3 linked regions of the Danio rerio genome follow. The protein of the gene in region 2 binds, or shares a complex with, the protein of the main gene of each other region. Links are inferred from orthologs where the notes say so. Each region holds a gene or a part of one and is shown on either strand. Other genes may lie near its edges. The genes, in order: tmem17, mks1 and tmem107l.

Evidence for each region.
Region 1: mks1 (region 2) and tmem17 share a complex: the UniProt entries of both Homo sapiens proteins name them as parts of the tectonic-like complex. The link is inferred for Danio rerio from reciprocal best matches to the Homo sapiens genes MKS1 and TMEM17.
Region 3: mks1 (region 2) and tmem107l share a complex: the UniProt entries of both Homo sapiens proteins name them as parts of the tectonic-like complex. The link is inferred for Danio rerio from reciprocal best matches to the Homo sapiens genes MKS1 and TMEM107.

Annotation. Positions count from the first base shown.
Region 1 is NC_133200.1:30,967,971-30,971,729, forward strand, and holds the start of tmem17 (transmembrane protein 17B), read left to right. Parts: upstream 1-1,412; 5' UTR 1,413-1,488; coding exon 1,489-1,603; intron 1,604-2,233; coding exon 2,234-2,337; intron 2,338-2,447; coding exon 2,448-2,561; intron 2,562-2,636; coding exon 2,637-2,780; intron 2,781-3,759. Other genes in the region: PKc_like domain-containing protein, read right to left, coding at 1,341-1,387. UniProt on the Homo sapiens protein: Transmembrane component of the tectonic-like complex, a complex localized at the transition zone of primary cilia and acting as a barrier that prevents diffusion of transmembrane proteins between the cilia and plasma membranes.
Region 2 is NC_133180.1:61,446,840-61,450,598, forward strand, and holds the start of mks1 (tectonic-like complex member MKS1), read right to left. Parts: upstream 2,431-3,759; 5' UTR 2,216-2,430; coding exon 2,139-2,215; intron 1-2,138. Other genes in the region: mrm1 (rRNA methyltransferase 1, mitochondrial), read left to right, coding at 3,751-3,759. UniProt on the Homo sapiens protein: Component of the tectonic-like complex, a complex localized at the transition zone of primary cilia and acting as a barrier that prevents diffusion of transmembrane proteins between the cilia and plasma membranes.
Region 3 is NC_133198.1:31,419,389-31,423,147, reverse strand, and holds the start of tmem107l (transmembrane protein 107 like), read left to right. Parts: upstream 1-1,104; 5' UTR 1,105-1,261; intron 1,262-1,384; 5' UTR 1,385-1,390; coding exon 1,391-1,477; intron 1,478-1,569; coding exon 1,570-1,637; intron 1,638-2,260; coding exon 2,261-2,361; intron 2,362-3,759. UniProt on the Homo sapiens protein: Plays a role in cilia formation and embryonic patterning. Requires for normal Sonic hedgehog (Shh) signaling in the neural tube and acts in combination with GLI2 and GLI3 to pattern ventral and intermediate neuronal cell types.

The sequences.
Region 1 (3,759 bases), on a different chromosome or scaffold from region 2:
AGAGACAGAGAGAGAAAGAACGAAGGAAGGCTGATAAAGGTAGTTTAACACTGAAAACATTCATAGCTCCAGCAGGTAAATCATCATATGGAACATTTAGCTGTGTTTGTCTAATTAAGTAGGCCTATATTTTCCATAATAATCACTATAATCACAGGCTACAGCAAATCATTTTATTAAAACCATGTCAACAGTAGGCCTATAAATAGTAAAAAAAAATGCAATATTAATATTCTAAAAGTTAATATAAATTCATGGTGTATAATATTAAATTAAACGTGTAATATTTATTTTTCCATTGAAGATGAGGCAGAAGCAGGTTCAAAAAATGAGGGAGACCACCGAGCATGAGCTAAATCACACAGGTACAGGTAAGACTGTTAATCTGGAAGGGATATGCTAGAGTGTCATACAAAGATAGATGGACATTTAAATAATTTAAATATTGTAAATGCTTTGTTATTCATTCTAAGATGAAACTCCCTCCGAGTCAACTCAGCAAAGTAAAGGTGATGGAGACAGAAAATGTTCAGATTGTCCATCCAACAGTAAATAGTTTCTGTTATTATCCGCAATGTGTAAATGTGAATCACATACATGTAAGATGAGCTTATCAAGATCTTTCAGGACAAAAAAAGTTTTGTTTTTAAAGGTACAGGTAAATATAAAAATGTAAAATGGTAAATAGTTCTGAAATTATTACAGAGTGTACTGTTTTTTCTTTTAATTGTACTTTTACAACAACTAGAAAATTTGTATAAGCAAGAACCCACCCACTTAGTGCCCCTGCCCCTCAAAATGTCTGTGCACGGCCCTGAATTGGTGGTTCATTCTGCTGTGGTGACCCCGGATTAATAAAGGGACTAAACCGAAAAGAAAATGAATGAATGAACCTTGGGTTGCAAAAAAAATATATCTTTTCATATTGTTTCTCAAAAGTGAAGAACCCAAAAAGAACCTTCTTTAAAATAAAGCTCTAAATTCTAATAGAAACCCTGGATCTCAAGACTGAATAAACTGAACATTGAGTAGTGGGCAGGGTTTTATTTTAGTTCTCATACTTGACGTCATCAGAGAAGGACCCCCACACCAGAGCAGAATCAAATAGGAGGTTTTTGATTAAAGATTACCTACAATAAAAATGATCAGCGACTTTACTTAATTGTTCACCTTAACACTACCAATGTCCTCTAGCAAAATAAACATTGTACATTTTTTTACTTCATGCTGACTTAAAGTGATAGTTTAAGCCAGGAATATTAATATTATTCTTTATACACATTGCAGGATAAAACTCAGCATAATGTATCTTATTTCGCCATCATACAAAGCAAGCAAACCTGTTAAGTGCAGCTGAGCAGTGTGTGTGAGTGAGAGTGAAAAACATCCCCCGGTGGTCACAGCTGGACCATCACAACCGCTCAAGAAGATCCGCCTTCGTTGCTACCATAGACTGGTTGCTACGGACACACGTCTGCTTCTCCCAACATGGACCTGCCTGAACCCATCAGGCGACGGCTTGGAGATTTCTCCAGAACCGTGTTTGTGGACCAAAGCCGTACACAACCCTCTTTCGAAGAGCACGCAAATTTTCTAGACCAAAGTAAGTGTGTTTGAGCTTCCATTTGATCTGCTACGTGAACGTTAGCTGTAGGGCTAATTCATCTGGTTAGCCGAGTTGTACGATTTCATGTAGCTTTTGCTAGTAAACATATTTTTTTCTGACGTCATATGCAGATATAATAATGCTTTATGGTAGCATTAATCTTAAAAGGAAGTTGATAACATTTGGCGTTATTCCTGTCTGGGACCTACGAAACTACGTTGCGTTACCAAAAAGCATAATAAATGGTTCGTTTGAATCGGATCTTCTTAATGGACCTTTTCATAAAACGTGATTAGTCAAAAAAACTACTTAAAGTAAGGCAACTAGATGATTTAATAGGTTGACGGAATCGAAATATTTTGGATATCTTTAACCAAGTTTAGTTAGGTAAAACAGCCAAGTGAACAAAGTTACTCATTTAAAACGAACTGTTCAAAAGAACCGATTCGCCAAATGTTATTTTACTCCATCCTATACAGGCTCCGAACACTGATTTATGTATTATTATTATACATATTATATATCTGTGGTTCCGAATCAGGTTATTTAGGATGCCCAAGATTAGTAAAAATGAACTTTATTCAAAGCTAATTTGTCATTTTAATTTTATGCACTATTATTTCTCAGATAAGGATGTAGTATCGAGTCTCCCTCTTCAGATGTCACTCTACTTTAACATGTGGTTCTTTCCTTTCTGGTGGATCAGTGAGGTTGTGATGCTTGACCTAAAGGTGATTCTCGTCTTTGTCATTTTTAACATTTCAATATGATCTTATGGCTGTTTAATCATATTACTGTTGTTAGATATTACAGCTAATAATCATTGTGCTTTTTCTTCTAGTACTCAGCCCTTGCAGATTATTACAAGTTCATCCTGATCACAATTCTCATTGTAATGACCCTGATTGAGGCTATTAGGCTGTATTTGGGCAATGCTGGAAATCTGCAAGAAAAGGTCAATCTTAATTTAATGTAATATCATGTAATATCCTATAATTGGTCCCATTATGCATCTGTTGTTTTTCAGTAGGTTCCAGAATTGGCTGGATTTTGGCTTCTGACTTTTCTACTTCAGTTTCCTCTGATTTTGTTCCAGCTCTTCAATGAGGCTGTTCTTGTTCAACCACTAGAGAGAGGAGTTCATATAATACTGGCCTTATTTATCTTTGCTGAGGTATCTATCTGTCTATCTTACAACTATTTTAAGTGACTATGTAGAATTTTTAACTCCTCATTGTTCAGAATTTGAAGGGATTTCAGTTGTGTACCAACAGAACAGTGTTTTATAAAACACTCAAGACACTTTGACAAAAAGCCATTATTTTGTGCAAAACACAGTGATTAGAGTTTAAGAACAGCAATGATATTGGTTGTAACATAAAGATTACAACTTTAATTTCCAAAGCCTACAACTGCTTTTGTCTCGATTGATTTTACTACATCTTCAGTACAGATTTTCACTCAGGAGGGAAGCACGAAAGCCATATTTTTATGCAGATTTGAATGAAACACTCCACTTCAGGAGGAACAGGCTCAACTTATAAGAGTTAAACAGAAAAGATTTGCCATTTTTTAATCCTTTTAGATGATCACTGGGTCTGGTGAAAACCCTTTTAGCTTCGCATAAATCATTAAATTAGATTAGACCATTAGCATCTTGCTCCAAAAATACAAATAATAACTGGAGATAATTTTTCTATTTAGAGCTTGACACTTTTCTAGTCACATTGTATACTAATGCTGTTCACACCAGACGTGGAAGGAGCGTCAAGCGCAAGTGATATGTTGATATGGCTAAGAACTATACTCTCATTTTGGTGTAATAATCAAGGGACTAGCTGCCATACCAAGGCTGCAGCAGGGACAATGTTAATATGTAGCACTGTTATCTAGATGGGAAATATTTTTTAGAATAAGAGTATAGTTCCTAGTACATAATGTAACTATAGAAGAGTGTGCGTGTATGTATGTATGTATGTATATATATATATATATATATATATATATATATATATATATATATATATATATGTGTATATATATATATATATATATATATATATATATATATATATATATATATATATATTTATATATAAATATAAATTATCTTGTGTAACTTATATAACTTTAAGTTTTTGTGCAAGAGGCTA
Region 2 (3,759 bases):
TTACAAAAAAACAGTTGCAGTTTCACAAAATTAAATGTGTCAAAAATAGCTTCATGTCATTTAGAGAAGTACATGCGTATTGAAACAAAACAGGATGTTGTTATCTCAGGAGAGAAAGTTCAAGATGTCACAGAGTGTAAATACCTATGGGTTTGTCTGGACTCCTGTCTTGGTTTTAAAACACATATAAAAAGGTATGTAACAAGGTCAAATTGAATATAGGTAATTTTAGGTTTATTGGAAATTCTTTATCAAATAAGGCTACAAAAATGTATATAAATTCTACGATCCTCTCTCATATGAATTGTCTGATAATTTGGTTTAACACAAAAACAAGTTTTACAGTTTTGAAACCTTTCGAATTATTATATAAAAAGAACTATATAAATATTATATAAACAAGAACAACAAATTTTGGATAAAAAGTTTAGTTTTCAACACTGTACTATTTACATTTACATTTAGTCATTTAGCAGACGCTTTTATCCAAAGCGACTTACAAATGAGGACAAGGAAGCAATTTACACAACTGTTAGAGCAACAATGAATAAGTGCTATAGGCAAGTTTCAGGTCTTTAAAGTCTAAGAAGGAAAGTATTAGTAATTTTTTAGTAATTTAGTAATTTCTTTTGGAATTTTTTAGTAAAGATTTTAGTAAAAAAAAAATTTTTTTTTCAATATTTAAAAAAACCATAGCCTGCTTGGTTGGGAAAAAATCAAGTTTAAAAATGGTTGTGCAGTTTAAAAGATTGGCATCACCGTGGCGCAGTGGGGAGCACAATCGCTCACAGCAAAAAGGTCGCTGGTTTGAGTCTTGGCTGGGTCAGTTAGCATTTCTGTGTGGAGTTTGCATGTTCTCCCCATCCCAGTGTTGATGTAGTTTTCCTCCCGGTGCTCTTATTTCCCCCACAGTCTAAAGACATGTGGTATAGGTGAATTGGTTGGGCAAGCTAAATTGTCTGTAGTGTATATATGTGAATGAGTGTATATGGATGTCTCCCAGTAAGGGGTTGCAGCAAGAAGGACATCCGCTGCGTAAAACTTTTTTCTAGTTTAAATCTGTAGAAAACAAAAGACTTGAGGTACAGATAGAGCTGATTGTACTATTCAACTTAAAAAACTTGTTTTGGTCAAGCTTGTTTTTCTTTGAAAGCATCCCATCAGTGAAATAAGATACCACAATCTGTTAGAGATTGTGATTTTTTTGAGTATCATTTTTAGAAATTTTCTTATTATTATTCAATATTTTGAACACTGGGCTTTTTGATGTTGTTGTGGTTGTTTTCTGTTGTTTAATTGAGTTTTGTTTTTAGTTGAATTTGTTTTTTTATTGGTATGGCCTTTAACATCTGGCAAAGGGACTACCAATGAAAACATAAAGGTAAAGTTGGTTTTATATTCGCACATTCAGACTTTCTCCTAATATAATTTCATAAAAGTATTATTTGCAAACTCTAAATAGCGAAATCATATTAGCAGCCAATGACTATCAAAGTACAACATTGTTCACAGTCAAATAAACAGTGTAATGTTGTTTTCAAGTCACATTTGCAGGTTATTTTAGAACGAATCTTCTAAGTGCCGTAGTAAACGATGCAGGGAATGTGTCACAAGTTGTCACTGAATTAATGTGTGAATATAAAACCAACTTTACCTTAATAATGAAAACTAGTCTTTGGGTTAATATAAGTATATTTACGTTCTAGGTGAATGATTAATGTACACTGAGAAATAAACTAAACTAAACAAAATCACAGAGTAATGATGTATGCAATACAATGTTACTCTGATATAATATAGAAATAAGTAAAATTTAAAGGGATAGTTTTCAAAGGGATACAATTTCTAATGTATTTACTCAGCCTCAAGTATTTCTTTTTTTATAGAAGAGAAGCTATTTTGAAGAATTACTGTGTTCAGCAATATAAAGAAACTTAAAGAAAAGGTTTGAAAAAAGCAGGGCGAGTAAATGATGACAGAGTTTTCAGTTTTAGGGGAACTATCTATCCCTTTAATTTACTGTGGTATTTTCACAGCTCTTCCAAAACAACACCACAGTACCGTGTCCAAAATAGTTCATAATGCTTTAAAATATATACATCAGTTTGTTATACATGCACACAGGCGACGTGTCTTACCGTATTCGGAAGTTTTTAACTGCATCCCTGGAACGGTAAACCGATTCTCCGTTGTCAGAGCACCAGCCGTCAGCCATATCTGACACACAGCGTCAAAAGATAAAAGTCTTCACATATAGTGTAGAACTCCCACCGGTTACTATAAAAACACTCACATCAAGACTAAGGCAGCTTAAAATGTTTTGATATAATTCACTCGTGAATGCAATACTGCTGAAAACAGTTAACGCCACACATCAGAGCGTCTTGTTGCATAGTAACAATCTAAAACGGAAGCGGCCGGAAGCCATATGCACGCATGCTCAGTACTGGCAAACATATGCTGTTCTCAAATCAGCCTGTGCTGCTTTGAGATCGAACTTCTGATAAATGACCGGTGCTCACTACTGATCTGCAAGCGGTAACACATTTACTTTTCCTGTCACCCACTGGCAACAAACTGAAAGCTGTTCCACATGTTTGTTAAACACGGTCGATTATTTAGTTTCCTTATGTCGCATTTTACTTGGGAACTATAGACATTTTTGCTTTGTTTGAAATGTTTTGAGGTTTTTAGTGAAAAGGAATCTTACATTTAAAATAAACATATTGCGTTGAGCTGACCTCCTTAGTTTGCCAGACTATACCAGCTCGAATTTCTAAATGTGTATTGTAGCCTAACCAGATGACAAGAACCAAACGGACTGGGGTAAATATGGTGTATTTGCACATTTAGAGATTGTCCTTTCATCAGAAATGTCTCATTTGCTAATTTTAAACGAGGAAATTATATTAGCAGCCAGTATCAAAGTACGTTGTTCACAGTCAGTTTAATAAGGTTAGAGCTAATGTTGTTTTAAAGGTGTACTTGCATGCTAATTCAGACCAAATATTCAAAGTAACGTGGGTTAAAATATAGGCACCGTAAACAAATGTGTACATTCAAAACCAATTTTACATCAGTGCCAAACGAATCTAAAACCAACAAATCAACTTGTTTACGTTGTTTTTTTAAAGAAACATTTTTTCTTTTTTCTTTTTTTTTAAACATTCATCAGTTGCAAATATGCAAGTGTGGAAAACAAGTATTAGAGTGTACCAGGTGTCCAGCCAAACAAGCAAAAGATGTTTTGTAGGGCTGAATGAATTGTATTTCACACCAGTATTTTATGCACAGCAAATTTGCACAAGATCATTCTTCTATCGAAGAGACCTTGTTTTAAGGTCAGACGAGAAATTTTCCTCCAATAAACTCAAAAAAACATTTGCCACAAACAGAAATGAAATTCACAAATCAACAAAAAGTCAGAGAAAACCATCCCAGGCAGTTCATTTTTCAAAAACAGGGAAAAAGCTGTCATCAGAACTTCAGAAACTGAGGTTTGAGGATCTTAGCGAATCAGAATCTAGTAGCATCCGTAAAGACTCCCAACCAAATCAAGATAAAGAGTTTGAGATTGTGTTTGGTGTGGCCCCATGTTTATTGGCTCTCACTCGGGGAAGAAGGAGTGCAAGTTGTCTGTTTGTGAAAAGTGGCGAAGGGCCGGAGAGAGATGCCATTCTAAGGGTCTGTCAGGAGGCCATCAGACGTGGTGTACAGATAAAAAGAGTTAATAAACAAACGCTTGAGAAGATGTGTGAT
Region 3 (3,759 bases), on a different chromosome or scaffold from region 2:
TTATTTACTAGACCAACGACGTCTGGCTGTAGGCTACAGTAAAAACTAATGATTCATTTATTTGTTGATTTGTGAATGCTGAAAACCTGCAACCATTGACATCCATATAGGAAAAACAAATGCTATGGAAGTTACAGGTTTCCAACTTTCTTTAAAGTATTGCCTTTATCGCTTAACAGAAGAAAGAAACTCACAAAGATTTACAACCACTTGAATAAACAGCAAACACGTTTTTATATTTGGGTGAGCTATCCTTTTAACTTATAGGGCTCTTATTACACACGTTTTATGCACTTACTATAATACCAATAAATTATGCATAATCACATGCAAAAACCCATAACCATAGTAAGTACTCCATATCGTTAATTAATGCCACTCAGTACTTTATGCTATAGATACACTGTAAAAATGAGACCGTAAAACAAAAAACAACTTAGTTTGTTTAAATGCATTTCATTTCGAGATTAGCACTGTCGCTTCACAGCAAGAAGGTTGCTGGTTCGAGTCCCGGCTGACATTTCTGCAGATGCTTTTTTCCCTGTGTTTGCTTGGGTTTCCTCCGGGTACTCCGGTTTCCCCCACAGTCCAAGGACATGTGCTATAGGTGAATTGAATAAACTAAATTGGCCATAGTATATGAGTTTGAATGAGTGTGTATGGATTTTCCCAGTGCTGGGTTGCAGCTGGAAGGGCATCCGCTGTGTAAAACATATGCTGGATAAGTTGGCAGTTCATTCCGCTGTGTCGACCACTGATAAATAAAGAGACTAAGCTGAAGGAAAATGAATGACTGAATAAAAGGCTTGTTTAAGACACCTCGAACACCTTGATAGTGCTCCCTATTGACCACAATAATGAAGTCTTTGAAATAAATTTTTTCCAATTGTCTTACTACTTGTCTGCGCTGCCATGTTCCAGTTCACCATTTTCAAGTTATTTCACCTTTAGTACCTGCTCTCAGCCGAAGGAAAATGAATGAATGAACATTTTGAGACATTGTAAAACCAAGTTGAGGACCAGTCAGAAAGCGACTCCTTCCAGCAGGTGACAGCATTGAGCTACTTGTTGGTCTGTTTTGACCATAACCCATTCGCCAAATAGAAGAAGAGTGTTGTCGTAGCAACCCGAAGCTTATATCGAGCGATAACTGTCCTCAAGCTTGATAAACTTATACGCATAGTAGCCTTATATACAGTGCTATATCTACTTTACTGCTCACCATTTGAAAAATCAGGTTTTAACAACTAACGCAAAGCTGGTACGTATACCATTTTGATATACAACCTCACGTTTTGTGAAGATGAACACGTTAAACCTTTAACTGTTAGTCATCCACTTGCACAGTTCAATCTAAGTTATTATGTCTTTCTTCTCTGTCTAGTGTTCAATGTCGGTGGTCAGCAGTCTGGTGCCTGCCCGTTTCCTCACTCTCATCGCGCACCTTGTAATAGTGATAATCATTTTCTGGTCTCGGGTAAGAAGTGTTCTTGTGTGTGTAATTGTTATTTTTATATCACACAACATCACTGCAGCCAGCTGTGTGTTTAAATGTGGAATGACCTACAGGAGTACAGTGTCCGAGCCTGTCTACCACTCGACTACACTAATGAAGAGTACACAGCAGAGGACACACGGTTGGGAAACACACTTTCTCTGTTCTGTATTGCTTCACAGTGGCTAAATGATAATATAATTATTTCGGTCATGTAGTGAGACTGAATAGTATTTTTTGATTCAACTTTATTGTCATTATACATGTACAAGGCAACAAAATGCAGTTGGGGTATACCTAGGAATGCGATAGCATCAAGTGCATGATATATGCACAGTGCTCAGCAAATGAGTACACCCCTTTGAAACAAAACAGATTTATTAAACAGATATATTTATTCAAATAATATTTTAGTCATCAAACATATTTAGAAATTGAAAGATATTACAATTACATTCAAGCAAAATAATCCAAAAAAGAAAAGAAATTACAACCTGCAAGATTTCAACTAAAATAGTCTTTTTTTTTTTCATTCCGCAATACAGAATGTATTTTAATTGTTAATTAAATGTACCTTTTAATTTATGAAACAAAATACTTTAAAATCTTTTGATGGCTTTTCTTGTTTGACCCATTTACAGCATATTATTGTTTGACTGATAGTAAATTGTACATTATTTATATGTAGATGTGAATAATGTTATGGAGTCAGATATAGTAAGTCCTGTTCATGACGCTGTCCTAACCATTGTTTTTGGAATACAGGCTTGTGGTGGCATTATCCGTGACTCTTGGCCTGTTAGCCATCGAGTTGGTTGGGTTTCTCTGTGGAATCTCTATGTTCAACAACAACCAAGCTCTTCTGTGTATCCTTACCAGTAGCACATCACCACTATAGGTTATATATATACTGTAGGTGTTGATGCATATAAATTGTGTATTATTTTCTTATATTTTCATGGATCGGAGTCAAATCTTCAACTTATGATTAACGCAAACAGCTCCCATATGTGTGTCTAGTACTAGTTTCTTACACATCTCATCCAAAGTCTTCTGTTTTGTTCAGATTTTTGACAGTAAATTACCTGAAGTCATGGGTCGTAAAAAATTATATGGAGCTGTAATGTGGTCAAGACCTACCTGGTATATAAAGTCAATCTAGGGCCATATATACAGTTGAAGTCAGAATTATTAGCCCTTTTGAATTATTACCCCCCTGTTTATTTTTTCCCCAATTTCTTTTAACGGAAAGTAGATTTTTTTCAACACATTTCTGAACATAATAGTTTTAATAACTTATTTCTAATAACTGATTTATTTTAGCTTTGCCATAATGACAGTAAATAATATTTGACTAGATATTTTTTAAGACACTTCTATACAGCTTAAAGTGACATTTAAAGGCTTAACTAGGTTAACTGGTTTAACTAGGCAGGATAGGGTAATTAGGCAAGTTATTGTATAACCATGGTTTGTTCTGTAGACTATCGAAACAATATATAGCTTAAAGAGCAATAATTTTGACCTTAAAATGGTGTTTAAAAAAAAAAATGCTTTTATCCTAACCGAAATAAAACAAATAAGACTTTCTCCAGAAGAAAAAACCCTTTTGGAAAAATAATAATTCAAAGGGGGGCTAATAATTCGGACTTCAACTGTACGTGCAAAATAAAATAAAACTTTGCAAACAACAAATAAAGTATTGAGCAAAAAATAAATAAATGTAAATGAAAAAAATAAAAAATACATTTTGCTAACAAAAATAAAGAACTGCAAAGGGGAAAATTGAGAAATAAAAATGAAATTTAAACAAAAAAGGAACTGCAAATAAACATCAAGCAGTAAAAAAACAAAACAAAAAGATTTGCAATAATCAAAAAAAAACTATATATATTTGCAAAACATTTTTATAGCATTGCTTTTACAAAACCTGCCCGGTCAGTTGCAATTGTCATTTTAATTAGATTTTAGTCAACTGTGAGTTTGTGATGCTGTTTTCACTTTGTACTTCACGTTTCTGCGCCTTTCACTTTGTGGCCCTGATTTGACAAGGGGACTGAGTCAAGGGAACTTAGAGGTTTACCTAAGGCCTGCCGTAAACGCCCAAGTTCCCTTGACTCCACCCCTTTGTCAAATCAAAATGAGCATTGCAGTTGACTGGATGGGTTAGGTCAAGGCTAAAAATGTTTTGCAAATATTTATATATTTTTTTTTTCAGTTCTTTTTTTGTTTGCAAATGTAATTTTTATTTTTCAAAAATAAAT